2 linked regions of the Bombyx mori genome follow. The protein of the gene in region 1 interacts with the protein of each later gene in a biochemical or structural test. Links are inferred from orthologs where the notes say so. Each region holds a gene or a part of one and is shown on either strand. Other genes may lie near its edges. The genes, in order: F-box-like/WD repeat-containing protein TBL1XR1 and E3 ubiquitin-protein ligase SIAH1A.

What was found.
Region 2: the proteins of F-box-like/WD repeat-containing protein TBL1XR1 (region 1) and E3 ubiquitin-protein ligase SIAH1A form a complex in vitro, tested with the Drosophila melanogaster proteins (2 studies listed by BioGRID). The link is inferred for Bombyx mori from reciprocal best matches to the Drosophila melanogaster genes ebi and sina.

Annotation. Positions count from the first base shown.
Region 1 is NC_085121.1:10,764,041-10,780,867, reverse strand, and holds F-box-like/WD repeat-containing protein TBL1XR1, read left to right. Parts: upstream 1-8,775; 5' UTR 8,776-8,972; coding exon 8,973-9,030; intron 9,031-10,097; coding exon 10,098-10,247; intron 10,248-10,432; coding exon 10,433-10,578; intron 10,579-11,964; coding exon 11,965-12,167; intron 12,168-12,355; coding exon 12,356-12,476; intron 12,477-12,854; coding exon 12,855-13,007; intron 13,008-13,118; coding exon 13,119-13,310; intron 13,311-13,914; coding exon 13,915-14,415; 3' UTR 14,416-15,530; downstream 15,531-16,827. Other genes in the region: probable ubiquitin carboxyl-terminal hydrolase FAF-X, read right to left, coding at 179-332, 1,015-1,170, 2,314-2,512, 2,609-2,764, 3,656-3,875, 5,017-5,146, 5,907-5,948; tRNA-uridine aminocarboxypropyltransferase 1, read right to left, coding at 15,558-16,286, 16,358-16,552.
Region 2 is NC_085116.1:16,264,602-16,281,148, forward strand, and holds E3 ubiquitin-protein ligase SIAH1A, read right to left. Parts: upstream 9,767-16,547; 5' UTR 9,331-9,766; coding exon 8,485-9,330; 3' UTR 7,966-8,484; downstream 1-7,965. Other genes in the region: rab5 GDP/GTP exchange factor, read left to right, coding at 653-787, 2,509-3,243. UniProt on the Drosophila melanogaster protein: E3 ubiquitin-protein ligase that is required for specification of R7 photoreceptor cell fate in the eye by mediating the ubiquitination and subsequent proteasomal degradation of Tramtrack (ttk).

The sequences.
Region 1 (16,827 bases):
CTTATTCTTTAATGGTAAAATTTAATAATTCTAATATTCACAATACTTAAAAAGTGTATGTCGGCGATAGTTACACAGCATATTATGCTATTAATGTACTAAAATTCTTATTCATTAATTCATTTCTAATTTCAAAATGATAAAACATAATAAATTACTAAACACATTAAATACTTACACTTAAGAAGACTATGATGTTGTGGTGTTTTTGCAGAAACATATTTACAAGCCCTAATCAAACAGGAAACGGTATCAGTCTTATTTTCACTACCTCGCGCTTCCTTCTTCAATTCTTCGTCGGATAAACTTTCTAACAACGTTGGTATGCATTCCTAAAATAAATAAATATTGCTTCACAAAAATCTACAAATAGTGTAATTCTAAGGCGGTATTGATATAGGAAAGTTTTTACATTATTGTCTTGGGAATGATTCTCAAAGACTGAGGATTTTTTTTAATGCTGAAAAATCTGCCACTACTATTGATAAGACTTCTAGGCAATGAGGCAAACATATCTACGCTTGAAAGGCAAACGTGACTAAGCGACAATGCGTGAACTTTACAGTAGACCTTTTATTTAAAGTTAAAATACCTGAAAAAAATTATATTTTAACGAATCTAGCTGTAGGATTGAAATGATTTTAATAGATCTAGAAATTTTTTTTTTTTGCACATCGAATATGGTTATTGCCTATCATTTATGTACAAAGCAGTTATTGTCGCTTAGTCACGTTTGGCTTTCAAGCGTCGATATGGAAAGTAACAGAACAAATCAGAAAAAGATTGGAGATAAGACCCTTAACATATCTAGAGCCAGCCTAAGTCATGTCACAAGCATCCCCAGATTCTACCATCCAAAAGTCTAATCTCCTTATTGCCAAATAAGTAAGAAGCTTGGTATACCCATAACCAATTGACTATGCTGTGGTTTGGTTTTTAATGTTGGCAAGGTTGTTAACCTTGAGCCCATACAAATCAGACACTAAGCTCAATGAGCTCATTTGTAATACTTACAAGCACAGGTAATAAGTATGTTGTAACAGTATGTGCAGTGAGAAGATCATGACAGACACCAAGAGGGCGTAATAAATGCCAGACCTCTGTGACTCTTGTTTCAGTTGTAGACTGTTCTAATGATGAAGGTTGGTCGTTACGAGACTGTGTCATTGACTGAAAATTAAGAGGAAATAAAAAAGATAACAACATAAAAAAATGTTCACATTTCAACAGTTTTATATATTGTAGGTACAACCACCCTGCCCATTTCTGTCGTGAATAAGTAATGCGCTTCGGTTTAAAGGGTGGGACAGCTGTTTTACTGTAAAAAAAACTGAGGCTTAGAACTCATGTCTTAAGGTGGGTGGCGGCATTTATTTCGTTGATGTCTATGGGCTCCGGTAACTCACGGCAGGTAGGCCATGAGCTCGTTCATGCATTTTAGCAATATAATAAAAAATATATAGACTATAACAGGAATATGCTGTGGAACAAAATGTGATGCAGCTTCCTTTTTAAATTTTTGTATGTTATTTCCATACATACATCAGGTACAGGTCACATTATCGTTTTTTAATTTAAATAATAATTTTAATTTTACAATCACGATTTTTTTGGCGTAAATCACAGTGACGAGTTATAAGCATACAGTGTAAAGCTATAATATGTTTTTTAAGGATATTTGGTTATTTTTGTGGGCAGTTTTTTGGAGTTTACTCCTTTAGAATCGATTTACATATATAGGCCCGGGGTATGAAAATTATGGGGACCAAAATCGTACTAGCATGTCACACGAAATGCGTTATGCGCCTGATTGGCTCCTGATTGCGTGATGCGTGCGCGCGCCAATCAGGAGCCAACGCGCGGCCGCGTTATTGCAGGTGACGCCGGGCTGCTGCGCCGGCAGTCCGCCACAAAGCCTCGTACTGATCGCGCGTTTCTCTCATTATTGTATTTTCATATATTTGTTAGTCGTTTGTTTTGTGTCTCGTTAATTTGTTAATAATCTGTAGTGTATCGTGTTGTCGTAATATAGAACTATTTCTCGTATTGTTTCGTTTAATTTTTTATATCCAGTAAACTCCAGTCGTGCGTCGGAGCGGACACACACACATTTTTTATTTTATTTCCTTTATAGTACAAAGAACATACAGCCCTTATCTGTTTGTAAGTAATCACCATGGCTTATAGACGTCAACAATACCAGGGATTCTGCCAGGCCGCTGCCTACTGCTAAGGACTTAGCAACAGTTACAGCTAGCTATGTACGACCGAATATTACTAGTGATTTTAAAATAATTTTAAATTAGTACTTACATCACTGTTTTCCCCAATAACAAGAACTGGTTCAATACAATTGGTGTTAGATGTCTTGCTCTCATCACTTTCTTTTTCCATCATCTCAGACAATACCTTTTCTTCTGTATTCATAGATGAATTGAGATCAGACTTTTGAAAACCCATTATCTCTTCAAACCTCTCCCTTAATTTCACAAAGCCGCCTGCTTGACCAAACCTATAAAAATTTAAACAAAACCTCTAAAACTTTTCTATTCTTTTAATAATTGATTTGTTCCATTTTTTATTAAAGCTGCTTGCGCTTACTACTTACACATTAATTAGATGGACCAGCCACCCCCTAGGAGTACGATGATCATGAGACCTAGCAAAAATTTCTATGTCTTGAGAAGGCCCTTGACCTGTACCAGTGGTATTTGATGTCACCGAAAGGCCCTCGCTCGTTCGCGATGCATTGAACATATGAAACCTGAGAATATTTTTAGTAATATAATTTTCTTAAATAAAGTAATAAATTAATATGGTTTTGGGTAGAATTAACCAACAACTGCCATCCTTTTATTTTCTGTTGGCATGTATTATTAAAAGCATTATTGTTCACAATAGAAGCAGTTTGTGACCACATGTTATGTGTATTAAGATTTTACAAAACTCAAACCAACCACAGCAGGATCGGATGACTAGTTAACCAGGCATAGTAAGTACTAAACATGCTTTACAATATGATTATGGGGTCTGAATACCGCCTATTTTGCATAGAAAACTCTCTACCTTTAAGTCTAATTGAAGACGAAAACTCTTAAAAAGAAAGATCTTAAAAAAACATACATATTTGTACTAAGCTGAAATCTTTTAATCTAGTGAATATTCTCATGTTGTTAAATGAGCACTTAAGCCATATTATTACTTATATTAAACTTATTATTAGGAACTTATATTTTAAAGAAAATATCTTTTATGTATGAAATATTTTTGAGATTAATGTTTAGAGTAATTGCAACAAGTAAATCATATTATATATGTGATAGGTTTGTACAAGACGCTGGACAACATTAATACACTACTATTACTTGATGTTCAAGCACTACTAGGATAATTACGCTCTGCAAACAGTGCTTTCGGCTTAGTTAATGTTAGTACATCAATCCCTTTTCGGCTTTGGCATCTCTATTTACATATTGCAACCTTGAAGAATTCAAATTTTCCAGTTTGACGGGTAGGTGAATCGTTTATCTTTTTGGGTTCGGTTAACCTCTTAACACCGATTCTATACCTATGAATCAGTATGACAGTATGGCAATTAAAAAACACTTATTTCAGGAATGAGTTTTTTTCATAATTTATGAAATAAAAATCTTACTTGTTACTGGGGTTTAATGTCATAGTCAATAGATGCAAAAATCTGGGATCATCAAGTTTAAGAGCACACAACTTGACTAGCTTCTCACAGTTGGATCTTACACACTGTTGTATATTATTTTTCCACGATGATACTGCATCATCTGTTAATATCTTTGTAAAAGATATTGTGAGAGCATCAGTGTAAAATTTCTGACACGCCGCATTGTGTACATCTTCTCCTGTTAAGCAAATAATTTGTATTACACTCTCTATCTGATAATAATTATCAAACCTACAAATTAAGAGACAGGTTTGAATTCAAATGAATTAATCTTTCATTTCAATAACATGTACTTTTTAAAAAATTAAAAAAAAAAAAAATGTCTGTCAAATTGAGAATAGATAAATATTGTTTTCTCTTTATTAATATTTGTCTAAAGTGTAGTTTTGACGAAATTTGTGATTAAAGAAGTATAATAAATAGTCCTTTCAAATCTTTCCTACACAAACATCTCTATGGAGTTGATTGACTAATTATGGAATTCTTGAAGTATATTTTTCCAACCAGTGAAATTTTCGCGTTTTAGAGAAGGTATATATGTAGTTTGCTTTTGCAATTAACACATTTAAGGTGTTTTCATAAAGTTTCCGTCGAACTCGTTAACTACGACGAAGAATTCGTCTAGCGAACTAGTCCATGACAAATCACTGCGTGCGTTTCTCGTCCGATCTTCTCAGTGGGTCGTAATTTCGATCCGGTGGTAGATTCTGCGAAGCACTGGTCTTGCTAGGGCTATTGTTAGCAAATTCTCTTAGGTTAAGCCCGTTAGCTCAACTACTCGTCCGCCTGTAGTTAGAATAGCCCTTTGGGCTACCAACGTTTAGGTAGAGATAAAAAAGGATGCTCCGTCCATCCAAAAAGCGCGGGATCCAATTCACTATTCAATGCAATTCTCACCACATGCTCTGTTTTCTTCTATTGCTTACGTGTGTGAATGAGCTCATGGCCCACTTGGTGTTCAGTGGTCATCAGAGCCCATTGCCATGAGTCCTCTCTAACGCAAATTTAATAATTTTTCCTCGAAATTATTTAATAATTTGTTCTCTAAGTTTAATGTTCCTGCTTTCTACTTTATTGGTTGCTTGATATATTTGGCTCGATGTTCTTTAACTTGAAATCTTGGAAAATTTGGGTTTGGTGGATGAGGAGACTTTGACTATGAACAAATGATGACATCTCTTTATAGTAAAGGTCTCCTTCCTCGTGGAAACAGTAACAATAGTTCAACGGAACGAACTTATGAGTTTCCACTTGATAGCTAGATATGTTAATAGCATCAAGGATTCTCAGTTTAATAGTGAAAAGAAAAAAAATTAAACCTTTTGCAGCTAGTTCTGTTGCAGCGACTAGAAGAGCTTCCAATTCTTGTTCTGGCAGCACTGGTACAACCCAACGGGGATGTGAAAGTTTGTCTTCCAGTGCCTTTAATTTCGCCTCAGGGAATGCCATCTAAATAATATAAAATTTGATTAGTTTATATAAATTATCACGTAACATCTGTAACCGTATGAGATTATAACTTAAGACATCCCTCCTCCGTGCGTCGTATTCCTCAGTGCTGAGGGTCGTGACCTTTACAGAGGACTTTTGTTAGGACTATGTTCTTCCATTCACTCCTGTCCTCTGCGCGTGGATAGCGACATTGATGCTAGATTCCAGTCGTCTTAATCTGACGTCTTAACTTAAGACATACAATTGGATATTTAATATATTTATATTCATACAGCTATGAGGAGGGGCATCCTAAAAAGACTCAGATGAATTGTGTGAGTGCAAACATGACGTACGATATGCCAGAATGATCCCACATAGTAGGATAAGAGCAAGAAAAAAATTCATACAACTATGCACTTGCACGTCTTTTGTCCAATTTTGTTCAAAATCTATACTGGACCTAGACTTTTTACCAACAGGAGAATGATAGGTTTTTTTTATAGATTTATTAAACAATCACCCGCCGTCGCTGAATTTCACTAGTTATTAACAGAAAATTACAAAAAAATATTAAAAGTCAGCCATAAGAGTCTAAAATTAATATTTATATAACTAGAGACTAGAGGTCATACTATCTGTATTGCCTTATATTGCCTACCTCTGACAGATTTAATATAAATTATGGTGCGTCTAATCTAATTTTACAACAAATTATTCAAAAATTGTTAATTAATAAAATGTATAACTTTACATTTAAATGAAATAATATTTTTACCTCCCCAGGCATCTGGTCTTGTTCTTTCATGGTTATAGTCATTATTTGAAACGCTGTCTCATTGCATTACCTGTAATTTTGTTTAAATTTACTTTTTCTTTACTTAGTTATTTAAAGAAACAACACAACATTGGACAAAATTATTTCCCATTATAAACTTTGTTATATTATGGATATGCAAAATATCATATATTTTGATGAATCCAAGACAAGTTTTTCTTTTCCTCTGATAATTTTATTTATTAAATATTTCTTCTTTTTACTTTTATTGTAAGTAGTTATTATTTGTAAATACCAGTTAAGAAATATTATTCATTTAGCTACAATTTTGTTCTAAAAGAGATGTATTCTTTCCAAAAATAAATGAAACAGTTGATGGATATAATGGTTTAAAGAAACACCAAAATGTTTCATTTCAAAACTTGCATTTTGATTAAAAGACACCACATCAGTAAATTTATTGCATTGCATTCCGTCACCAAATTAAGAATCAACTAAAATACGGTGCCTCAAGAGAGTGAGAGGAAGTGCTCCCTAATAGTCTTGCCTTAAATTACGAGTTCACAAAATATTCCCATCTTAATCAATAAGTATTTATGCTTAATTTAGTAAATGAATAATGATCCCATTTTATCATAAGCCAGTATATTCTCATTACGAACTCTAGAATGGTGCTCATTACAGTTGCTTTTACTGATTGAAAATAATTGCAATTATTCCCAAAACATAATTTTCTGCTTCTTTCTTTGTGTATGCCCATATGTTTTATATTTACTAGTCCTAAACAAATTTTATAATACTATTTATGTTTAACATTGCTTTTACAAACAAATTGTACAGTATTGAAGTAATGCAAAAGACTGCAATGTTAAATTGACATTAAGTTATCTTAATTTCTACATTAAGGCTTGCTTCACGTAAGAGAAGAATGTGTTATAAAAACAATTTAATACCATATTGATTTGTTTTTACTCAATACCACAAATATACCTTCAAAAATATAATAATATTGTAACATGAATATTTTTCATATTTTCCCTGATAAGACATAAAGTACTATGGTAATAATACTACATGGATTTTAAGTAATTCCTATTTTACCTATAAATCTCTTGGATTTTATCTTACTAAAATTGGGCCACCCTGCATATATCACACATCAACATTCTAATTATTTATAGTATGTAGACAAACTCTTCAATGACTTACAATTTCAATAGAACTATATTTTTTATCTATTGAATTTGCGAATTAATGAACTTTATAATAAATGCGTTTTTGGAGCTTGCTTCGCAGCGCAGGTTTTTTTTCTGGTTAACTGTAAACTACAAATACTCAATCTTACAAAGGCTAAAAATCGCAAATTTATAATTCTAGAAATCAGCCGGCGCTACAAAATGGCGTCAAAATCATATACAGAACAAAGCAAAATCTCTGTTTTTGCAATAAGTATGAAAGAGAAATGTGAATGAATCGCATTAATTTCAAAGATTTTACCTTCGTTCTCAGCAAATGTATTAATTCTAGAAAATCCAAAATAATTCACAATGATTTCACTAACACTTTTGACGTAACTGTCGAACATAGATTATAACAGATTATGCATTGAAAGTTGAAACATAGACACACTTAATATTTGAGACAAAAAAATACAATCGTAGTAGGTAAACCTTTACAATATTGAAAGACCTATGATTTATGAGGCTCAGTGAATTTAGCACCCTTTTTTTACTTTCGGATTTTTTTAATTTTAAATTATTTGTTCGTCGTTTGTTCGTTAATATTCGAATTCAAAAATTGTTTGTTCATCTTTTATTTATTTATAATTAATTAAACAAATGATCACCGTTAAGTTGGCCTCCTTCACTAGGTATCTTTATTTTTATAACTCAGATTAATTAATTTTGATCAATTATCGTTTGTTCGACAACTATTGGTGATCGACATCATAAGCTGCTACTCCAGACAATCTGAAAATTTAGATGGAATAATAATTTTTAGTTCTAAATACATACACGTAAAAATAATATAAAATAAGGTTAACTAACCGGTAACATGAGTCAATATCAATTGCATTCATAATGTGAGCTTTCAAAGTAATTTTAGCTGGAAGTTCGCTTGATGTACGTCCAGATGATTCCTTGCTATCTCCACGAATATCTAATTCTATATATCTGTATTCTATATATATGTATCTAATAAAAAGGTGGCGTGAGACGATGCGATGGTTTGCTTATTAGATATAAAATAATTAATAATTGGGAATTTAATTGTTCTTATGATCGAGCAATCACTAATACTTGTCGAACAAACGATAGTTGATCAAAATTAATTAATCTAAGCGATAAAAATAAAGATATCTAGTAAGAGAGGCCAACTTAAGGGTGATCATTTGTTCAATTAATTATAAATTAATAAAAGACAAACAAACAATTTTTACATTCGAACATTAACGGACAAACCACGAACAAAAAAATGTGTGCGTGTACTAGTGTACACACGTAAGAAGTGAAACTTATTTATGGCCTTATTTTTCGAAAAATGATCTACATGCAACTTCCTAGAAATTGGTTAAATAAAGTTAAATTAGATAAAGTTTAAACAAAAGGATTTTATTATCATAGACATGAATACAAAAAAGTTAAATTAGATAAAGTTTAAACAAAAGGATTTTATTATCATAGACATGAATACAAAACAGATGGCGCGTAACGGAAAAATGTGACGCGTAACCGAAAAATGTGACGGTAAATTTTTTTCCAACGCCGATAAGGAAGTTTCACTTCAATAATTAAAAACAAAAAAATCCGAAAAAAAAGGGGCCAAATTCAGTAAGCTATATTTAATAGACTTAGCATTCATAAAATTCAGTTTAATAATCTGTGATTCAGAGTACCTACCATAGATTATACACTTATATTTGATGTAAACCTATCGAGTTTATTTTTCAAATCGAATAATATTTCTGTAAATTACAAATACATACTACCTAAACTGACCTAAAGTAGTTACTACAGGCTACTACTGATAATATGTTATTGTTGTGATTACCATTTGATATGCAAAATGAGTTTTACTAGTGACGAAGTAAACTTTCTTGTGTACCGCTACTTACAAGAGTCAGGTAAAGTAATAGATACATTGTTGAAATAGCTTGGTTTTTCGTGAAACCAAGCTCATGGTGGCTGAAGAATTTCAAAATACAGAAACCGCAAAAAATACATAGGCTATAGAAACTTAAAATATAGGCAGTTTATGAAATAAACAACCTGTCACATTGTTGATCAATCGGTTTTATAGAAACACTGGAATTTTGAATTGTACACATTTAATGCAATAATTCTTGTTTATAATTTACCCTTTAAATACTGTATAAGATGTTCTGATAAATGTGTATTGCAAAATCACATGAATGAATATTAAAATATATCCTATTATTTATGTATGGAGTACATGCAAAAATCGTTCCTCGTCATTGACACGGGCTGCTATCACCGCCCTTAATTATTACTGTAAAGCTGTTTTGTTATATTGTTTCAATAGTGTAAAGCCTTTAAACAAGACTGCAACCATCTCTCAAAGTGGTTGGAGGCTTAAATTTGTGAAGTTGGTAGGTTTCTAAAATTACTCTTACAATTAAATTCAAAACAATGTGATCTGGTAAAAATTAATTTAATATGTATTTACAATATACTGCAATACACACTTGTTATTTGATAACATAAAACACACAAAGTTATAAACTTGGTGTTAAGTGATTATTTGAACCCACAGCCATCACAGCTTGAATGCCAAAATCTAGCTTAAGACATGAGGAGTCTCCACTGTGTAGTAAAACAGCTATCCCGCTTTTGAAACAGGAATATATTTATAGTGGTGGTACGTACCTATGTGGTCTCAGAAGACACTCCACCACCAGTGGGTAACCCCAGCCATGCTCATTATTTTTTCAATAATATTACAGGCACATTTACTGTCCAAATTCTATTGAAATTATAAAATGTAATCATATATTAAATAATAACCCTACAAACCATTATGCATACTTAATATATGTGTGACTGCATGGCAGGAATATACAAGATAGGTAGTAGGGGCATAATACAATATGTACTATGTAAATTAGGCCTGTACTTGTTGTTATTAAATAGGAATATTAATTCTACCTATGAATTAAATATTTTTTTCTAGGTTTCCACCATTCAGCATATTCTTTTGGAATTGAATCACACATATCACAAAGTAACATTAACGGAGCTCTTGTTCCTCCAGCAGCATTATTGAATATTATACAAAAAGGATTACAATACACTGCAGCGGAAATAACATTAGGCGATAATGGTAAGTAACAAAACATGATTATGATTCATGAGTTAATCATTCCACACTTATTTGCCAAATAACAATGTTACTTGCATCACATGAAATTATCTTACCTATTGGACTGGAACATGGAGGTTGTTGGTGCCTACCTGTCAGTTTATAATACTAAATAAGAGCCTAAATTCTATAACATTTTCTTCTAGGAACTGAAAATCGTCTCACAGAAAGCCTCAGCTTGATTGATGCTGTTACTCCAGATGTAGTAGCAGCTAAACAAAATGCTCACAATGCTCAGAAACAAGCTGCCAAAACAGAACAGGGATCTGGAAGCGAACAAAATGGTGTTGATGTATGTTTTTTTTATTTGTTGTTTGTAATGCTATTTGTGATTTAAATACATTATTACTAATTAGTGGTACTATCATGTAGTGGTAAGGATACATTATCACAATTTACAATTAAATAGATAGATGTAATAAATAAAAACACCAATAGATTTATTCCGAGTCATTACTTACTACACATGTCCTGAAGAAAACCCATCAAGGCCATTTGGATAATTTTTTTATTAACATACGTTCCAGTGTTGACATAAATGTAGAACTTAAAGTATCTCGGGTATCTCTGATTGAAAATTGCAAACAATTAAAATAAAATATAACTAGTAAAAACAGTACAGTAGTACAAAGGTACTAAAAGTAGTCTTCACTCTATAAAACAGTAGATTGAATTCTTGCTTGCTCCTTTAATCCCTGTGTTGGGTCTGTTGCCTAATTTTCCTTTTAAATTCCCTATATTTACAAATCAAGAGATGAAAGGCTATTTGGTTTAAGTGACATTTTGCTTAATATACAAAATTTATTTTTGGAATCTAATGTGAGTTTTATTTGGTAGTATCATCAATTAAAAACATCAAAGACACAAGTACTAAGTAACTAAGACACTAGATTAGAATTATCAAGATCTTAGAATTAATCTGTTTAAACATGGGCATGTATGTATGTGTCAATTGTCATAATTTTCTAAAATTTATTTATTTATTGCTTAGATGGGTGGACGAGCTCACAGCCCACCTGGTGTTAAGTGGTTACTGGAGCCCATAGACATCTACGACGTAAATGCGCCACCCACCTTGAGATATAAGTTCTAAGATCTCCAGTATAGTTACAACGGCTGCCCCACCCTTCAAAACGAAACGCATTACTGCTTCACGGCAGAAATAGGCAGGGTGGTGGTACCTACCCGCGCGGACTCTGAAGAGGTCCTACCACCAGTGTAACAACTGGTCCCTAAAAAAATAACAAAAGATATAATACAAAATTTTATTATTTCAAATTTGTAATGCCTGTAATATAACAAAACAAATGAGCTGACAGCCGATTTAGTTGATTGAATCCTGTGTTTCTGGGAAAACTGGGATTACTTGTCAACTTCCTTTGCTTTACTATGAGTGAAAAAATAAAACCCATTTATTCTCTGCTTTGTGAAACCAATCTAGAATAGCAACACCCCATCTCTACCCATGAGTTTAGTAAACACCAACAATCATAGAATGGGACACAGTGCTCTCCAAATATTATATCAGGGGACTGTGAGCTTGTTCAAAGATATGCATATTTTTTAAATTAGCTATAAATTAAATTTTACATTTACATTAAGGTTCACCTACAACTCTTGTTATGATGTACACAAAGATATAGGGATCCTGTGTATTATTTTCTAAATATTTTTAAAGGGTACAACATGCAGTGCACAAGCTGCAGCAAGTGCTGAGACACCAGCATCAAACATACCCGTGCCTATGGACATGGACACATCAATTGAAATTCCAGCAAACAAAGCTACTGTACTAAGAGGTCATGAATCTGAAGTATTTATTTGTGCATGGAACCCAAGCACGGATTTACTGGCCAGTGGATCAGGTGATAGTACAGCTAGGTAAGTTGATTAAAATAATTTTTTTATTATACTAATTAGTGTAGAATAGTAATTTAACATTAAAATAATTCAATAATTGAACAATTTAAGCTGTAAAATTGAAAGCTTTTACATTGTTTTCAAACAAAAATAACCAGTACACCTATGTACTGCAAATTAAAATAATAATGTTACTTAAATTTATACAGAATTTGGGATATGTCTGACAACCCAACAACTACTCCAAACCAACTAGTACTCAGACACTGTATTCAAAAAGGAGGTACTGAAGTACCAAGTAACAAAGATGTCACTTCACTGGACTGGAATGTAAGTTTACAAGCTTTTTAATTAATACTTATTCATTCATTTATTTGTAAAAAAAGCATGCGTTGTGAGCCCACAGAAAGCGTCACCATCCTGCCTATTTCTGCCGCAAAGTAGTCATGTATTCCGATTTCCGGGGTGGAATAGCCATTACACAATGCCATCGAGATTTGTACCTCAACACAGGTGGCTACAGTCACCGGGTGATGTCTATGGGCTCCAGTAATAATTTTACACAAAGTGGGCATGAGATTGTTCACTCTGATGTGCATAAAAAGAAATTTTTTTTATTTTCTAATTTATTTAATATGATTAATTTAGGGACATTGCAAGTTGAATTAAAGAAATAATATGATAATAATATTTAACTTTTTATTATAGTGCGATGGAAATCTTTTGGCAACTGGATCATATGATGGTTATGCTCGAATTTGGACTACAGATGGTACATTAGCATCGACTTTAGGTCAACACAAGGGACCTATATTTGCACTCAAATGGAACAAAAGAGGAAATTTCATCCTTAGTGCAGGGGTACTACAGATTTATAAGTTTATATATTAAAAAAATGTTTTTTAGTTATCATAAAACATTAGAGTAAGTTATGTAAAAATAAGCTTAGAATTGACATAATAATTATTTTAGGTTGATAAAACAACGATTATATGGGATGCTTCAACAGGTCAATGTACCCAACAATTCTCATTCCATTTAGCACCAGCACTAGATGTAGACTGGCAGACAAATACATCCTTTGCTTCATGTTCTACTGACCAGTGTATACACGTTTGTAAATTAAATGCTGACAAACCAATTAAAAGTTTCCAAGGACACACCGTAAGTACAATCTTCAAAATTCATTTTATTGTTTATTTTATTATTGCCTTTGGTTAAAAAACCACATACATTAATTAGTGTGAGTTAAGTACGTACTTTTTTTATTGCTTAGATGGGTGAATGAGCTCACTGCCTACCTGGCGTAATGTGGTAACCAGAGCCCATAGACATGGCCTCAACCTTCCAACCCAAACTCATTACTGCTTCATGGCAGAAATACACAGGTGGTAAACACCATTGCGGACTCACAAGATACCCTACCATCAATAATTACGAAAATTATAATTTTTGCTAATTTGATTTTTATCACACAATGTTGAATTGTGAACTGTGAATCATGTCAATCATGAACATTAAAATTTGTTAAGGACGTATTTCATTAGAAATATTGGTACCTTGACGCGGAATTTGAACACTGGCACACTCTATCGCTCAATTCGAATGCATCTTTATTATCCTTAAGTCCACGACGACTTGGAGTCTGAGAGCGGACGCAAATATTCACGTCTTAATCTCTCATACCACTTAGTATGTTGTGGACCCTGCACTCGTTTGCTTTTGACAGAAATAAAAGAAACTATAATTAAAAATGTATTTTTTACAGAATGAGGTTAATGCAATAAAATGGGACCCACAAGGACAGCTACTTGCATCTTGTTCTGATGATATGACTCTTAAAATTTGGTCAATGAAGCAAGATACCTGGGTTCATGATTTGCAAGCACATTCAAAAGAGATTTATACTATCAAATGGTCACCAACTGGACCAGGCACACAGAATCCTAACATGAATTTAATTCTTGCTAGTGCATCATTTGATTCAACCGTCCGCTTATGGGATGTTGAAAAAGGTGTCTGTATTCACACACTAACAAAACACACTGAACCAGTTTACAGTGTTGCATTCTCTCCTGATGGTAAGTTTTTGGCAAGCGGTTCTTTTGACAAGTGTGTTCACATTTGGTCAACACAAACTGGAAGCCTTGTACATTCTTACAAAGGTACTGGTGGTATTTTTGAAGTATGCTGGAATTCTCGTGGTACCAAAGTGGGAGCCAGTGCTAGTGACGGCAGTGTATTTGTGTTAGATCTTCGTAAACTTTGAGACTTACAAATATAAACCTCATAGCTTTATATGAGGTGGTGCTGTGGCATTGGAACATGAATTTGACATTGATGATATTACAATAATTGGTAAAGTGTGTTGTGCTATTGGAACTAAATAATATAATGCACTAGATTTCAATCACCAAAAGTAATTTTGCAGGTATAATCAACATTTATGATTATTTCAGTATATTTTTAGAAATCTCATCTTTGAGATTGGGTGAAGCAGTGAAATTATGCATAGAAAAATATATAAATGTGTTATAATGGTTGTAATTTTTGTCACATAATTTTCGAACCGGCGGTGCATATCGCCATCATTTTATTTTTGGTAATTTAAAAATAGTTTTGAATTAAGAACGCAAATGTAATTTTTTATAATATCTGGTAAAATTAACTAATGACATGTTCTCCGTTACGTCATAGAATATGTAGTGTTTCAAGTGAATGATTTATATTTTTGTTGGTATAAAATAACTTGCAAGCTCTGTTCATAGTTTTAAGGTGTATTTTGTGTCTATCAATTGGCATTAACAGAATTCCATACTACATATTAGATATTCACGATAGGTCACCGTGATTATTTTCTAGTGATTTAACAGTAGTTTTGTTTATAAAAAAACATAGCCTAAAGTTTATTTATTAACTTTACTTTTTCAATACTTTTTTAACTTGTTATCTAAAGCAGACAAAAGCTGTAGGTAATTTAAATAAACAGCTGAAAAATAGACTTTAAGGCTGCAATTCTCAAACTGGAGTATTTTGTTATTTTATTTAACTAATTATTTGTTTAAATATCATAAGAGTTTATATTTAGTTGCACAAAAACATTATCTCACCTGCAATAAGAAATCGGGTCATAATAACTAATTATCAAAATTAGTTTGGCAACATAAATAATCAATTGAAATGTAAAATAACATTTAAAATGTACAGTAAAAATTTACATTTAAGTACAAAATATATGACAAAGCCTTACTAAAATTTTAATTGAGTATTACAATGTCTGTAATAAATATCTAGTAGTTAGTATAAACTTTATTTAATAAAAATGTTTTTTTTTTTGTAAAAATTTATTTCTTAGTCAAATAAATTTATTTTAATCAACAAATATTTCAAGTCCTGTTTATTTTTCGGATATCAAGACATTGGTCTTTTATAGGCTAACAAATCTTCATGTTTATAAAGTTCATGTAACTTTGAATACATAAAAACAAAAAAGAATAATAAGTTGTCATATTGTCCAACATAAGGATCACATTGAGGATGATTTTGATCTGGATTATGCACAGGATAGTAATCTGTAAGGTGGAATTTGTAATTTTCACTCCGACCCCATGCACACAAATGTAATTCTAACACAAGTTGATGTAATGATTCAATTGTGGAAAGATACCACCTAGGACTGCCTTTTTGGTGTCTCCAAAATTGAGATGGTCTGTTTTGCAAAACTATGGTTGGCAGTTTTTGAATTCTTTTATCGGCATATATACCACGGCATTGATTCCAGGTGCTGTCAATAATAACTACATGATTTATAGGTAATTCTTGGACATGATAGATTTCATGGTTATCTTTTCTTGTAACTATCTTTTTCATTAATGTTCCAACATTGTAACCAACTGGCAGTTGTGATAACATAATTTCTGAGTATGAAGGCTGATTTTGTTGTTGATTGAATAAGTCTCGCACAGATTTTGCCTCAGCTCCAGGAAACAACAAAACAACCTTTCCATCAGTAGGATAATCTGGAATATCTGGATATGTGTACACTGTGACATCCCGTGGAGCAAGAACAGCAGCATGGGCTGCAGTGCTTTTACCATTAATCTCTCCTTTGTGTTTGATAATATCCACTTTTATTGGTAGCTGCAAAAATATTACTTATTTATTAAGCTGAATTTATTGTTTCCAAGAAATTAGTTTTATGAGTTACTAACTTTACAGTAAGGTATTTTTCCTTCAAGTGCTGGTACTGGAATAAAGCAAACATAACAAAAGTACATTCTTGACTTGCCGCAACGTGGGCAAGCACTTCTACTAGATAGAGAACTAAGCGGTTCAGTGTTTGTTATTATCAACCCTTCAAAAGGCCTGTCATCACAAGCCTTAGCGATACGATTTTTAGGGTTCATCTTTCCTTTAATATAAAGCTAAACTATAAATTTCACGTATTCTATGGTAATTCAATGTTAAATTGTTTATTTTGTAACACCATTTAAACATGACAATACAATACAATATCTAAACATAAAAATATGTGATATTTATATAAAATGATGTATTTTTAAACACTACACTCTAAAAATGTAGTGCATTTTATCTATTTTACAATTAATTTAGCAACAATAAATTTATTTTTAGTTTAGAACTAAAACAGTTTTAGTTAACATTTGTTTTTTTAAGGAAT
Region 2 (16,547 bases), on another chromosome or scaffold:
GCAGCTCTAAACGGTCCCATTAACGAGTGCACAAGAAGGGCCGCGGTACACGCGGAATGGAGACTTCTGGTGAAAATCACCACCACTCGAAGTGATGACCACGACCAGACTGCCAAAAGTGCGTACGACTGAGAAGAAGAATAGTTACAGCGGCTGCCCCGCCCTTCAAACCGAAACGCATTACTCCTTCATGGAAATTGGCAGGGTGGTGGTACCTACCCGTGCGGACTCACAAGAGGTCCTACCACCTATTATTACTACCTTATCTTTTTTTTTATTGCCCTTGTAGGCAGACGAGCATACGGCCCACCTGACAGTGAGTGCTTACCGTCGCCCATGGACTTCAGCAATGCCAGGGGCAGAGCCAAACCGCTGCCTACCGCTTAATACTCTCCACAAGCCTCTTTTGAAGAAGGACATGTCATAGCGCTCGGGAAACATCGTGGAGGGAAGCTCATTCCATAACCGGATGGTACGAGGCAGAAAATACCTCTGGAAACGCACTGTCGATGAACGCAGCGGTTCCGGATAATATGGATGAACTCTGCTCCGATGGCGGGAGGTGCGATGATAAAAAGGAGATTAGGGGATCATCTCAAACAATTCCTCAGAGCACTTACCTGTCGTAATTAATTAATGTGTTCCACACCAGGCGGCCGCGCTGTCGCTGTGCGGCGCCACACGCGAGGCCGAGGAACAGAGCGCTCTAGCAGCGAAACTTCTAGAACAGACCAAAGAGATACAGAGGGAGGCCGAGAACATGGCGAACAACGCGGCTACATTTGAGGTTTGTCGCGACTTTATATAGCTAGGGGGTAAAGGGGGGACACGCAGGCGTCTATATCTGCCTCAAAGCACCGTGCGTTCCGGTTTGAGATGAAGTAAGAAGTACTATTTGAAATAAAGGAAATACAATTTATACAAGACTCAAAACGTGTTGCTTTAATTTAGAAAAGAAGTAACTTAAATGATCTATTGCATTATTGATCGTTGTTGGATGCTTGGGTTTCTTGAATAAAACTTCCAAATCGATCTTGAGCTTGTATTTTCTTTATACTAGGAGTGGGTAATATTGGTTTTGCCGCGTATCGAATCGTATCTATATATCCAGGATCAATATCGGATATTGAATCTATATATTTTCTGAATCTATATATTGATGGATGCTAGTAGATTTTCTCGATTCATGATATTTGAGATTTGAAACGATACGCTGATATAATATCGTAGTAGATATAGATTTAAGTCAACGTTATACGGTTGGTTTTCTGATATCAATATATAATATGATCTTAAAGTAATAAAAAGAACATGAAAATAAAAATATCAAAAAAAGTTTCCTTCATGCTTTTACCAGGCTTAGGACTGGCTACATTATTTTCAGTTTTTAGTATTTTGTGTCTTAATTTAAAATTACAAAATATATCAAAAGAGTGTAGATTTCAAAAGTTTAATACAAACACAAGAAATAAACTCAATTATTTGGATTCAACTAAAAATAGAAAAATGTGTACTTTAAAAATCAAACACAAAAAACTTTTAAGTATTTATAAACACTTGTCCAAAAATTCTAGTTCAAGGTCAAAGCGCGTGAAATTAAATTCAACGATGCAAATAGGCTATACTGCATTCAAGTTAGGGTCGAAAATTGAAACTTCTTTCCTTAATTGTATCCTGCTGATACGCTAAGAATAATCTACAGACATATGGACTTAAATATAAGGTTTACAATTGTATGGATAATGCCTGTTTCTGTTTCATTCATCACATGATATCCCTATCGTGCGCTCACTCACTCTGGCCGATTCGATACGAACCAAACGAATATTGCTGATATTAACGAATCGGTACGATATGCCGATGCGCATCACATCGAGCAATATCGTGTATCGGCTGATATCGAAATATAGATTTCGTGCGGGGCGATATCGGATTCAACGATATTGCTGCGATATATAGATATTGAATCTATATACGATTTATATCACCCACTCCTACTTTATACAGGTTTTTTTTTATGTTGCGAACAAGTTAGCTTCTTGACACGGCGATTAATTAAAGTGTAAATGGTGTAGGTAAACATAAATAACAATTTCAACATTGCTCCTTCAGATTTCGTAGACTTTTTTTATTGCTTAGATGGATGGACCATCTCACAGCCCACCTGGTGTGAAGTGGTTACTGGAGCCCATAGACATCTACGACGTAAATGCGCCACTCATCTTGAGATATAAGTTCTCAAATATAGTTACAACGGCTACCCTACCCTTCAAACCGAAACGCATTACTGCTTCACGGCAGAAATAGGCAGGGTGGTGGTACCTACCCGCGCGGACTCACAAGAGGTCCTACCACCAGTAAAATCCAGCGTTAACAATCGTCTTTTATTTATTGCACGTCCCCAGTCTCCTGTACATTCTACCTCCTGTATTGTGTATTCTCCTGTACAGTCTCTACTTTGATGGGTGAACGAATTCTCAGTGTCCTAAACAACACGATACTTTACAGGAACAAATCGCGAAGAAAGTTCAAGACGTTTTAGCAAAGACCCCACTGGAGATCAAACCACGGCGAGAACTGCCGCGTCTCAGACGCGAGGGCGTCGGGTCCGCGCCGCCGCCCACCACCGAGCCCGGCCCGGCGCGGACCTCAGAACCGCCAGCGCTGCTCAACGAGCCGAGCGTAGTCATCGACGAAACCGAAAAACTAAACATCTTAGGCTTCGAAGTGGTCGAGGAGCGGTCGCCGTCCAAGTCGCCGCAGCTGGACCGCCTCTCCGACCTCAAACAGAGCAGTTCAACGGAACTACTGACCCCATCCCCGATGGTCCTCACTCCGTTCGACTGCAGGTCCCTAGACGAGGTGCTGACCCCGGACGAGTTCCCGGACAACATCCCCGGACTGAGCGACGTCAATTATGACATAGACCTGTCAGATTTCAGCGCGGATACCAGTCTGGCGGAGGACCCCCCCGCCCCCGACCGCCGAAGGACCTTCGATCCATTCGCGCCTCAGACCTCAAAAGACTCGTACAAGTTGCTGGAGTCCTTTGATGAATTTAGCATCGTGGATAACGCGCGCGAGTCGGACCCCTACGAGGTCGTGCACAGGCCGGACCCGTTTGGTTCTGTTTTGGACAACGATGAGGGTAGAGCGTCCATTCTGGACGACAGCGGTTCCCCCACGGCCGCCTGCCTGCTGCCCTCACCGATACAGCCTCAAAACAGCGCGAAGCCAACTTAGTTAATTAAACAATCATTTTTATTTAAAAATATTTAAAATCCCTCAGCTTAGAATGGTTTAGTTGAGTTTCTCCTCCAAATGTAAATTTACTGGTGGTAGCACCTCTTGTGAGTCCGCGCGGGTAGATACCACTGCTTATTTCTGCCGTGAAGCAGTAATGCGTTTCGGTTTAAAGGGTGGGGCAGCCGTTGTAACTATACTTGAGACCTTAGAACTCATATCTCAAGGTGGGTGGCGCATTTACGTTGCAGATGTCTATGGGCTTCAGTAACCACTTAACAAAAGGTTGTGTAGCGAAGGGGGCCCGCATTCTGGTTCGAAGATTTGGACACAGTTGCACAACAAACCCCCATATCAGTTCAGCAATGATCATGCATTATTTTTTGAGCTTCGACAACAACTTAATAATATTAGGTATGCTGTGAGCTCATATTCTTTTGTAGACCAAAAAAATATGCTACCATTATTTCACGTTGCCTACTTGCATCAGAGCGCAATGTACCATCGCTTTATTTCTATGGACAAACAGACATACCTCCAAAACATTAAATATTCAGTGAAGTACTTTTATAAGTCTCACAAATCCAATTGTGATTGTTAATTAAAGATTAATTATTAAAGATGAGATCCTTGATAAGTTCAAAGCCAAAGTCGATAAAGTCTTAAATGAATATTTACTATTTGAATTAATCGCCTTTCGTTCAGCGGATCCTAGATACTGTTACATCTAAATAATAAAATATGAACCCACATTTTCAACATATTTCTATTGTTTTTTTTTTTTGGGAATTCAAAATGTTGCCTTAAATAGAGACCGCAATCTTGTGCGTGTTAAGTAGTGCCGAAGAAATTACGCGTTTGAAAAGTTATGACAATTGTTGTACAATACAGTTGAGATTTGAATCTGCGTCCTTAGAGTGAGTTTTTTAACGTTCTCGATAGCGTAAACGTTAACTCAAATTTGTAGAGTTGGAAGGTTTGCCGCTAGGGGCGCTGTTCCAACTGCATACTAATTTGAGTTAACTTTTACGTTATCGAGAGCGTTATAAAACTCACTCTTAAGTACATTGGTATCTTATAGGCGACGGCGGCCATATTGCTGTCTCTGATGGCTGGTTGTAACCGATCAACAAAGAGTCCGTGGGATAAAACAGAAAAAACAATGGTCCCTTATATAGGTGATATTTGTTTGAATCCTATTGTTATTTATTGCAATTATATATTATTTTTTTTAGTTTTAAGGTTGTATATGTAATTTGAAAATGAATTTAACGTTGTTCTGTCAATTTACCTTTTGTAATGTCGTTCATACGTAAAGAGCATGTTGGATGAATAAATTGGTTTTTGAAAATCATAATTTTTTATTCAGTATTGTGTAGTTTTTTTTTTAATTTATATTTTTATTGCCTTTGTAGGCAGACGAGCACACAGCCCACCCTGATGGTTGATGGTGAGTGGTTACCGTCGCCCATGGACTTCAGCAATGCCAGGGGCAGAGCCAAGCCGCTGCCTAGCGCTTTTTTATTTATTGCTTAGATGTGTGGACGAGCTCACAGCCCACCTGGTGTTCAGTGGTTACTGGAGCCCATAGACATCTACAACGCAAATGCGCCACACACCTTGAGATATAGTTCTAAGGTCTCAGTATAGTCACAACGGCTGCCCCACCCTTCAAACCGAAACGCATTACTGCTTCACGGCAGAAATAAGCGGGGCGGTGGTACCTACCCGTACGGACTCACAAGAGGTCCTACTACCAGTAATTACGCAAATTATAATTTTGCGGGTTTGATTTTTACTGCACGATGTTATTCCTTCACCGTGGAAGTCAATCGTGAACATTCGTTGAGTACGTATTTCATTAGAAAAATTGGTACCCGCCTGCGGGATTCGAACACCAGTGCATCGCTCGATACGAATGCACGGGACGTCTTATCCTTTAGGCCACGACGACTTCGGATAGTTTAACTTAGCCATCAAAGTTTTGCAACTCATTAAAGATATTAAAAAGTTAATAACCTAAAGTTAGGTACCTACTTAACAACTAAATAGTGCTAGCCCTATCAAAAACTCTATTGACACCACACGTAACCTGATTCACCTTATAGCCAAGGTGAATCAGGTCAATATAGTTCTTTTTAGTTTTTGTGTACATTTTGTAATGAACTATGTATAATAACGCATCGTATATAAAAATTTAAATATTTTAATCTCAATTTTATTGGTATTATGAAAAACCATTGAAAATTTGTGTTGGATTTGGAAAGGGTCTCGATTTTCCCCAATCTACGGTACATAGTCTGAGTTATGGGAAATGACGGGATTATCATTTACTGATGGTAGGACGTTTTGTGAGTCCATACTGGTAGGGACCACCACCCTGCCTATTTCTGCCGTGAAGTAGTAATGCGTTTCGGTTTGAAGTGGGGTGGGGCAGTCGTAGTGTAAAAACTTGGAACTGATGTCTCAAAGTGGGCGACGGCATTTACGTTGCTGATGTCTATGGACATCGGTTACTATTTAATATTAGGTGGGTTGTGAGTCAGTTCATCCATCTTAGTAATGATATATATCAATGTTTTCAACACCGTTCCCCGTGTCATGTGATATAGAAACAAGGGAGAAACGAAGTTCCACTATAGACCCGGAGCTTAGTCGATCGATAGGTCGACATTTGTCTTTAGATCGTTGTTTTATTAAAATTTATTTTAGGTTAACGATACTGTATAAAGACTGGATTATGGAAAATGATCCAGAATAGCAATTTTATAATAATCTGTTTCCAAATACTATTTGACACATAGTTGAAACAAGTATAGTTCTGAAGATGAGCACCGTGAAACTCGGTATAATGTATTTGTTTGCAATTGGATATATTTAGAAATATTCAATTTATCTGGATTCTTTTGAACTTTTTTATTATTATTTAATGCAATTAAAAGGACAGAATTAAGAAAAAAATAAATTCCAAAAATTTAAGCCACATACAATTTCACTTATAACGCCACATCTGCATATATATTTTAAAATATATTTGAAAAACAGTAAAACCACAAATAATTTGATTACATTACAAAAATTTATTTCAATTATAATTTTTATTTTACTTGACGAGATTTATCTTATGAGATACAAGATAACAGTCATTTTTCACCATTGCGCGCGTGTTGTGGAAAAATAAAACAACCTTTTTAGTTTTCCAAAATGGCGACAATTCAAACTTTAAATTAGAAGTAACGTGACCGGTGACATTTCTGCATGATTAAAAAAGTAAGTTATTACAGAAATGAGCAACAATTTGTAGGCAATGCATTTACAATATTGTACTTAACGCCCACGTTTTAAAAAATCAATCTTAAAAAATTTGAGCATGTATTTCGCTGAACCTTTTGTGTAAAATATTTGACTAAAGCGAAATTTATTGTTTTGTCGCTAGATAGATTTAATATATTAAGGTTAAATGTAATAGTGAGTGATTATTGAGACGACGAGATCCAGGTTAGAATCCCGGTCTGGGCAATGATTTCAATAATATGAAAATTTGGGGTCTGAATTTGGGGTTTTGTCGGTGGGCAATTTGATTACCCGCCGAGTGACCACCAGAGAACTATTATTGCTCGAAGCAAAGTAAAACCTGTTTTAAATTAATTTTTTAATTATTAAACATATATTCCGAATCTAGTTGAAAGTGACTTATTAAAACTCTTTATTATATGCTATTTGTATTTATGTTATGGACAATGAAAACAAAACACGGCTTACCGCAGTCGAGCGTGTAATGTTGTTATTGTCGCGGATGAGGAAAGAAGCTCGCGGGCAGTCTGACGTTAAGTGGTAATCAAAGCCATTAAACATAACAAAGTACATGCTGCCAACTCAAAAAACAATACGTTGATTTGGTGACCGTTCGTTACATAATTATTGCTATTGAATGTCAGAGTATATTTCTCCAATTAATTGTTTAAAATTAACATGGTCTTCTTTTAACTAATGAAATTTATGTTTATCATTATGAATCTAATAATGAATAATGAGTGTTATGAAAAAATAACTTTTTCGGATTCATATTTACATATCCAAAGGTTTTGTTATACGCGCCAGCATACACTCAGGCTAAACTAAGCCGTATCTTCGAAAAGTTATGATCTACTTTCAACCTACGTCTTTAATCTTTTCTATCTAAGAATATTATTGTAATCATAAGTACCGTGGGCAAGATCCAGTTCAAACTATAACCAGTCCTAAGGCATTCAATTTTGTTCAACGTATTTTTTATTTGTTTAAATAATAGGTACGTTTGTTTCGGTCACGCGTTGACCGTGATAGTTGGTTCGAGCACTGTTTACCATTCGACCCTGTTATGCAGAAAAGATCCGACCAGCATCCAGCTAAAATGAAAATGAATCAGAGGTCAAATCGTATTTTTGATATAATCTACATAAAATACAAATTAATATCAGACTACACAGCATTTATTTAGAAAAAAGTATTGAGTATGTACATTTTTTTAATTGAAAAAAAAAAAACGATTTTTTGTCATAACTTATCTGCGCGATTCGTACCTTTTTCGTAATCATTTATAATTGAAAGGTAACACTGAATTACTTTTAAATGTCAAACCAGTGTCTAAAATTCTTCGCTTAAGAACTTTTTTGTTGGTTTTGTAAATTCTTGTTAATCGAGTTTCTGCATAATTGGGTAGACTTGTAAAGCAACATCACATTTCTATTATAAATTTTATTCACTAAAAATTTTTTCATGCATTTAAAATACAAATTTGTTCATTTTACAGAATTTAAGTAATCCCTTCTTGCGATCATCATTCGTCATAATTTGTTATAAACTATGTTCACAAGGCAATTATTGAATTAGCAAGAAATAATCACTTCTGCTACTTACAACTATATTGAACACACATTTACAAAAGTTGAAAAGAAAAAAAAAACATTTTTTTGGCTTACTTTCATTTGAACAATTATATTTAAATTATAGTACAAGTCATATATACGTGAGATGGTAAGTAAATCATAAAATAATATGATTTAGAAAATTAACGATTACATTTATCTATGGACAAAGATTATTTACATTTAGAAAAAAAAAAAGAAAACTAAATAAAATTACATTTTAAAATTTGCAAATTTGTTCCAACTTTTATGTCATGTTTCGTGTAACACACTGCGTAATTATGAGTCTAATACAAGAGTTTTAGCTCACATAAATTGTAAAAAGAAACATTGGTTAGGCAATAGATATTGTGACATTTATACCAAGGTTGCCATTATCTGCAAATAATTGTGCAAGTGATGTATCAAACACCAGGCAGTCTGAGTTCATGATGGCCGATGACACTCCTTCGTGAATGGATCTAGGCATTGCCTCCCACGTTAGCCGACGCCTGTGACCGTTCAACTCCAATCGGTATGCAAAGTTTTCAGCTTCTTTACGAGATCCTATAAGTTGCACAATTGCAAAGAACTGCTGGTGACCATCAAATTTTTCTTGTTTTTCTAAAACTAACATAAAATGATGATTGAAGCATGACTGCATCATCACCCAGTCCACCGCACCGGGCAGATTGATGTCCGTAGCTAAGAACACTATATCTTCTCCTTGGAGTGTTGTGATACTTTTGTGAGACATCATTAGATGCGGCATTACTTGATCAAGACCACCTTGCCACTTGCAGGATGCCCCGGGACAAGGACAAGAGTACGGCCTGAATTCACAAGCTTCTTCATGTTCAGCTTTCTCCGTGTGCACAAGAGTCACAGTACAGCCCGTGTTAGAATGTTTACAGGGGAACATAACATTACTGGCAACCTTTTCCATTGCAAGGTTGCGAATATTTCCGAGGGGCCCGCGACACGTCGGGCAGCAGGACAGCTTGGGACGGCAGCTAGAGCACACCAGGTGCCCACTCTGACACTGTAGGATGGGGGGCAGCACATAGTCGAAGCAAACGGGACACTCAAACAGCGAGGCGAGGTCGGCAGACATGGCGGTGGGCGCGTTCACGAGGGCCGGCACTCCGGGCACTGAACAACTGGACCCACTAGCTCCACGCCGCTTGATGTTCGTGCTCATGTCACCGTTACGCGCACATAGATCACGTCCGTCGACGATCTCCCAGTCCTCCACGATTACTTCCTAAACACGCACCGCTCACTTCACTTATAGCCTTCCACGGTGGATTTCTTCCGTCTGCTGGTCGAGTTGAAGTAGATTTCCATTACAGTTACCGAGGCGGATGGCTCTTACTGTTATGTACGTCGTGATATATGTGGGCTAATCTCCATGAGAATCTAGGCGAATGATAACAACTTGTGTTTGCGAAGAGTTCGGCAATTTTTATTTTACTGCATAATTACGTGTACTGTATAGAAAGACTAAATAAAAAAGGTAAAAGTTAATAGCTATGCGAACGTTCTAGCTCATTACAAAAGGACGATAATCGTCGTAAAACTCAATGACGACCAATCGAACAAAACTCGCATGAATGTCAAGATAGCAGGATTAGCAGGTGACCATAGATTATACACTTAATATATACGAGATAGATGCGCAACTCTCATTTTTATTTTTGCTTTAGTTAAAGCCCGGTCCAGCAGGCGTCGCTACGGTCGATTATTAGTCTCCCTACCCCCCACCAGGTGGCTTTTTTAGTAATTTTAATATTTTTAATAACTCTCTTTATGAAAAAATCTTATCGTTTAGAATCGCTGAAATTCCCGGTAGTACTTATGAGATATTAAGGAATGTTTGATTGTGTTCAGCATTCTAATCGATAAGATCTTTTCATACAGAGAGAAAACAGTTTTTTAAAATAAAAAGCTGTAATTCTCTGTAAGCTATTTAATTTCCCTATATTACAAACAATTTTCTGTTAAAAGATTGTATGAACGTACAATTGTATAAAATTTCGAATAACAATAATTCCTCTAGATTAATCCTACTAGCGTACTTATTAACATTAAATCGAAAGTTATCTAAAAGTTAATTAAGTCTAGATAATCAAATCATTCTATGTCAATAAGTCATTTGTGCGAAATATAAACATGTCAGCTTTCCATTACAAACATAGTAGACAATTTGAATTAAATTAAATAAATTTGTTTCTTAACGATAGCAGTTCTTGCTTAAAGTTGATCGTGACAGATCATGATCATGATCATCTTGTATGAAAATATTACATGTATAAACACTACCTATGCTTCGTCATACAATAATTGTCATTTAAACTAGCATTGTAGAGATAATACACACACTAAAGTGAATACTAAATTATTCTTAGCATTCTTATATTTGGTAATACTAGATGAAACAAACAGCAGATTGAAAGAAAATCATCTTAAAGTTAATTACATTCATTACAAACCATTAGTTTGCATTTTGTTACAAAAGAAACTGATGTTCGTTACATGCAAATGAATTATAAACATACACATGCAAACATAAAATGTAAATTTATCTTTTAATCCAAATTAAATGTACATTAATATTACATCTAAATAATAGAAAGGGTTTCGAAAATTTTTACTGGACTCAACAGCAGACGAGCACGCAACCCGGCTCATGATAAGTGGTCACCAGTGCTTATAAACTTCAGCAGTGCCATAGGGGTTGCTGTCTATCACTTAAGTTTTAATAAATTATTAATATACTCAGTCACAAGCATATTGATTTCACATAATGAAAATGTAAGAAACATAATCATGTTTGGGCATTTTCATTTATATCTGCTCATACAGAAAACACAACTTAGTAAAAATATATTCCACAGTTAATCTAAATAATTGCAAATAATGCTTTTGAAGACCGTTGACTTTTGATCATTAATTAAAATCATCTTCTCGTAGAATTTACAAAAGGTTATTTACAAAATTTATATCAGTATTTTCATATATTACTAACTTACTAATTATAACTATTCAAACGTAATACTATAAGAACTAAACAACCTATTTTAAAACAAAATTGGCATCAATTTAGTTCTTATGAACTATTTCAATTATTAATTTATAAATTATAAACATAATTAAAAAAAATTAAGATCCTTGAGAGTTCACGTTCCTTGCTGAATCAGTTTCTCTTCTGAAACGGAGAAACAAAGTATCATAAGTATGTAACAAATATTGAAAAAATACAACCATGAAAAATTTAGTGATAATGTAATCATACTTACAAATTAATATATTACATAACACATTCTGGTTCAAATATAGTGCATCAATCTTTTCATGTTTCAGACATTTTAGTGCTCCTTATAATTTTTCCATAAAATTTTGTCATTATCAAACCTTTGTCTACAAAAATAAAAACATTATTTTATATTGGGTAGAAGGATGAACGTGGTCACAGACCACTTGGTGTAACTTAGTTATCAAACACCAGGAAACAAAACGTGAATGCCATCATCTAACTTTGGATGTGAGATCAATTGTGCTGTATTTTATTTAAACAGGAAAGCATGACTGATTGATCATTCCAAAAAACTAGTTCGGGCCCACTTGACAATAAGCATATAATACGCTGAGTTGCAAAACATAAATACTTCCACCCACTCGAGACAATTTTATTATCTGAGGTGTGTGTGTGATAGTACGAGACTTAATACCGACTGTTTTGATCAAAATTTAACATATATGATAGCTAGGCAGCAGAAATAGGAAGGACCATTAGTTGGTGCTAATTCATTTAATTATATTATGAATAATAATTCTGTTAGCAAATAATATACCGGGAAAATAGTGTAAACTCACCGTTATCAAGGCATCCGAAATAGCATTTCATTTTCGATCTTCGAGGCATGCTGATTTTTAATAATAAACTTTCTGTAAGAAATGAAAATAGTTACACAGGCTTACGAAACGCTAACGAAGAAAAAAGTATTGGAGCCAAGTTATGTCTAAAGAGAATTCAAAACAGAGTTTCTCAATGTCTAATCGTCTAATATTCTCATAAAGCTAAAAGTTGCTCTAAATTAATACTACAACGTAAAATAACTCACACCAAGACCAAAAAAAAAAACGATTTAAAAAATTAAAGCGTTACGACATTTTGAAAACTCTTTTTTTTTTTTTTGAGGTTGTTTTACGGCCCTGGAATTTTGAAAACTTCAAAGCAGTGTTTCCAGTTACGTTTTTTTTACCACATTTTACCCTAGTTTCTTTTGAATTTATCCCTAAAATTTCCTAAACAACTTTCATAAATCCTTTATATAGAAAGCATAAATAAAATACAGAAAATAAACCACAGCATATTATTTAATGTAGGTATATATAATATAAACGCCCCCAGAAGATCATAGATGTATAGGATTAGAATTTTCAAGGAAGTCGACGCATTGCTTTTATATTCTTTTGCTGCACGCAACCTAACACTGTTCGGTTCTAAAATTGAGCAATTGTTTGCTGGCAAAGTTGGGAACTTTCTATGAAGCAAGCCGTTCAGGGTTTCATTAGAAAGCCTGTTTCTTTTGTCAGTTTTTACATTTGAGAACACTGAATAATCTTTCCACCTCAGTCTTTGAAGAAGGAACTGCTAGCAAAAGTGAAATGACAATTACAAGGTTTTCGTAAATGAAATTACCATGATAATCTTTCATGGTACATGAAGTACCTGTATATTACAATACGAGTAAGTTCTGGTGACATCAACGAAAACAGGTAAATAAAAATTTGGCGGATTATACTTATTGGGATTCTGGGGAATCCCTAAGAAAAAAGCAGTGGCTTAATCTATGATTTACTTTACTAGAGGGTTACTGTTGAATCAAACCTTCTTTATAGTTTTTATACACAACTCTGTTTTATTCTTTTACTTGTCAACTCGACTTAATGTCATTCTCTCCATAAAATAAAATGTTCATTGTTTTACTTTAATTATCGTTTATTTTAAAATTCACAACAGTTACTAGTATAGGCTTTGCTTTTTACCCAGAAATATCCTAAATCCTGGAATTTTTTAAATTGTCTTTATCATCCAAAATATCAGCTATTTTTCCCTAAAAAAGAGAGAATTCCCTAAAAGTGGAAACACTGCTTCAAAGTACGCTAACCTTTTTTATTGAGTCAGAACTCGTATCTGCCATCTAGTGAGTTTATTAGTTCATTAAGGCCAAAACGTTTCAAAAATGACCTCGCCGGTTCCTAAAGATGACGCTAGTTGAATGTTCTTTTCCTTTGTATGGGAGTTGCACCCCCCTGCAGGTGACGGTGAATGAGAGTGTTGCCATTATTTTTAGTTTGGATGTCAGTCTTTTTAGCCAAAGAAGTGTAAAGTGAACGAAAAGAACAGTAAAGCATAATTTATTACGATGTTGATCAATTTTAATGATTATTGTCATCAAAATTTTTAAAATCATGATTGGCTCGATTATACCTACAGCTAGTAACCTTAAGGGGTTGGTTAGACTTGTATCACCGTACGTGATTTTATTAACTACTCTTTCCTATTCCTTCAGATTAGTATTAACTCAGTAGTACTGCAGTGGATGTAATTTATCATTGCATGTTAGGTATAGGTAATTAATCACGAAACCACCAATCAAGAATCACTAGTGGTCAACTAAATTATATTAAATTATTTTCTTTTCACTCTCCAGCTGGTGTGTATTATTTTGTCACAAATAGATACTTCCTACAATTCATGCCTTTTCTGCCTAAGCTGACATAGTTTTTGGGCTTTAAATGGGCATATAAGTTTACCTAGCCTGGTGTTAAGTGGATTCCAGTGCTCAGAAATCACTTAAGTGAATGCCTTCGAATTAATGTAATTTGGCTTCATATTAAAACGAACGCACTAAGCTTCGAGGTACAATTAAGTGGAATGGTGAAATGTTTTTTTTTTTGGAATTGAAGTCTTGCTGATGACCTTAGCTCCACCACCATGTGGGTAAGCACGGGCTCAGGATGGATGGCTCATGGATATGATTTGTGGTATGGCTACTGTTGGTGTTAGACTTATCAGCATTCAACATTAGTGGGAGCGGATCAGTTGAGGTTATCAGTATGTATAGGGCGGCTTGGACTCGAGGCTTGGAGCCTTATGCGTATCGCACTGCTGTTGGGAGGTAACCTTCATAAACTGAATTCAAATGCTTAGAGTGGATTCGAGTTTTCGTGATTTATTTTATTATTTAGATGGGTGGACGAGCTCACAGCCCACCTGATGTTAAGTGGTTACTGGAGCCTATAGAGATTATAAAGTAAACGCGATACCCACATTGAGATATAAGTTCTAAGGTCTCAGTATAGTTACAACGGCGGCCTCACTTTTCAAACCGAAGCGCATTACTGCTTCACGGCAGAAATAGGCGGGGTGGTGGTACCACCTACCCGTGCAGACTCACAAGAGGTCCTACCATCAGTAATTACGAAAATTATAATTTTGGTGGGTTTGATTACACGATGTTATTCCTTCACCGTGGATGTCAATCGTGAACATTTGTTAAGTACGTATTTCATTCGAAAAATTGGTACCGGCCTGCGAGATTTGAATACCGTTGCATCGCTAGATACGAATGCACGGGACGTATTAACCTTTAGTCCACAAAGGGTTCAAAATTTTGAAATAATTAATGTTGAAATAAAGGGCGAAGATCAGGAAAAAATAGGTACCTAGTCAAATAGAAAGTAGGTAATTTATGGCAATATACCACTGCCATTCAGTAGCTATGGATATTTATACAATATTATGTTTATCGAAACAATAATATCGGAAAGGGTGCATTAAACTCATTAACTAGTGATGTTCCGATAGGCTATTGTTAGGTATTGATATGACGATTTCAACGAAGAAACATTAACTTTCGCCTTTTTAATTTTATTAATTTTAAGCAGAAAATGTTCCTTATTTAGTATGTCTAAAAAATTGAAATGAACGTTCCCCGTTTTTACCGAGATTTTAACTAATAGAGAGATTACTCTAGAAATCTTGTTTTAAATGGTGCGCTATAGTCATAAGGCGCTAATAGCATACCTCTGAGACTCCTAAAGACACGATCCACTGAGTTTCTCTCTGAGGATCTTCTCACTAAATCGCGATTCCGATCCGGTAGTAAATTGAGCGAAGTACTGCTCTTGCTATAAAAGAGAAGAACTAGAACTACTATAGAAGAGAAGAGAAGAAGAACTTCTGCTTACAGAAGCTTACAGAAGCAGAAGCATGATCAAATGAGTACAACGTCCATACGGTGTATTCGCTGTGGTTAGTGCTATTCTCTCTGAGTATTTACGTGCATACCACAAATGATTTACCCATTTGCCAATTTGGGTCCACGATGAAATAATAATAAACGTTTACTAGTGAAAATTAATTAGTAGTAGTAATGCGTCTTTTCAGCCTGCATAAGTTTATTTGCCTAGAAGCAACCATGGGCCTCTTTAGCAGGGGGGAAGACTGTTATACAATACGGTTGAGACTTCAGCCTCATGCCTCAATGTAGGTGAGGGCATGCCTGTTGTGAACTATGTCGTTTATGGGCTCCGGTAACCGTTTAACAACAAGGAGTCAGTGAGTCCCAGTTGAAGTGCGCGACAGTCGTTATATTTGAGGTTATGACCATAATTTTCGTCTTAAGATCTGTGGCGGGCTCTGGGCTCCGACCACGGCCTGGCAAACTTAGGCCGATAGTTCGTCGGTCCATCTACAGCACTAAAAGAAATTAGAGTCTTGCAAATGACGTGTACCTAAACTTAGCTCTTTACCAATAAGCCCGTCGACAATTCTATTTGACCGACAGTTGACCTATCAATTGGTGGTAGTGATCGATCGCGCACCAATTTGGCGCGTAATGTTTGGGCTCGGCTGATTGGCTATAACACCGAAAGGACTTTTCCCTCTTTCAATTTACTTTAGTGCTCATTTAAGTTGTGTGATTCGTAATTAGGTAAATCAAATTCAAGGTTATATAGGTTTTACAAAATGGGAAAATATTAAGTACGAGATTAAACCGTAAAAATAGCTTTAATTATTTCCGCGACTCGCAATGATCGAAAACTATAATATAATATAGCGTACCTATGATAAATTTTATTAAATTTATTTTGTTTAACCTGTTCGAGGGTTGTGGTAGAAAGTATGTAGAATTTAATGATGAATTTAATGCAAATCAACACGATCACGTGCGCGAGAGTTCGTGAACATGTTAAAACAAAACATTTTATATGAAATATTTAATTAACTCATTAATTAAGGAGTTCCTGCTGTCAACACTACAATTAGTGGACTCGCGGCGCGACGCCGAGGACTCTCGACCGACGAGTTATTGAGGCGATTTTTTTTCGAAGGGCTGGAGGCCT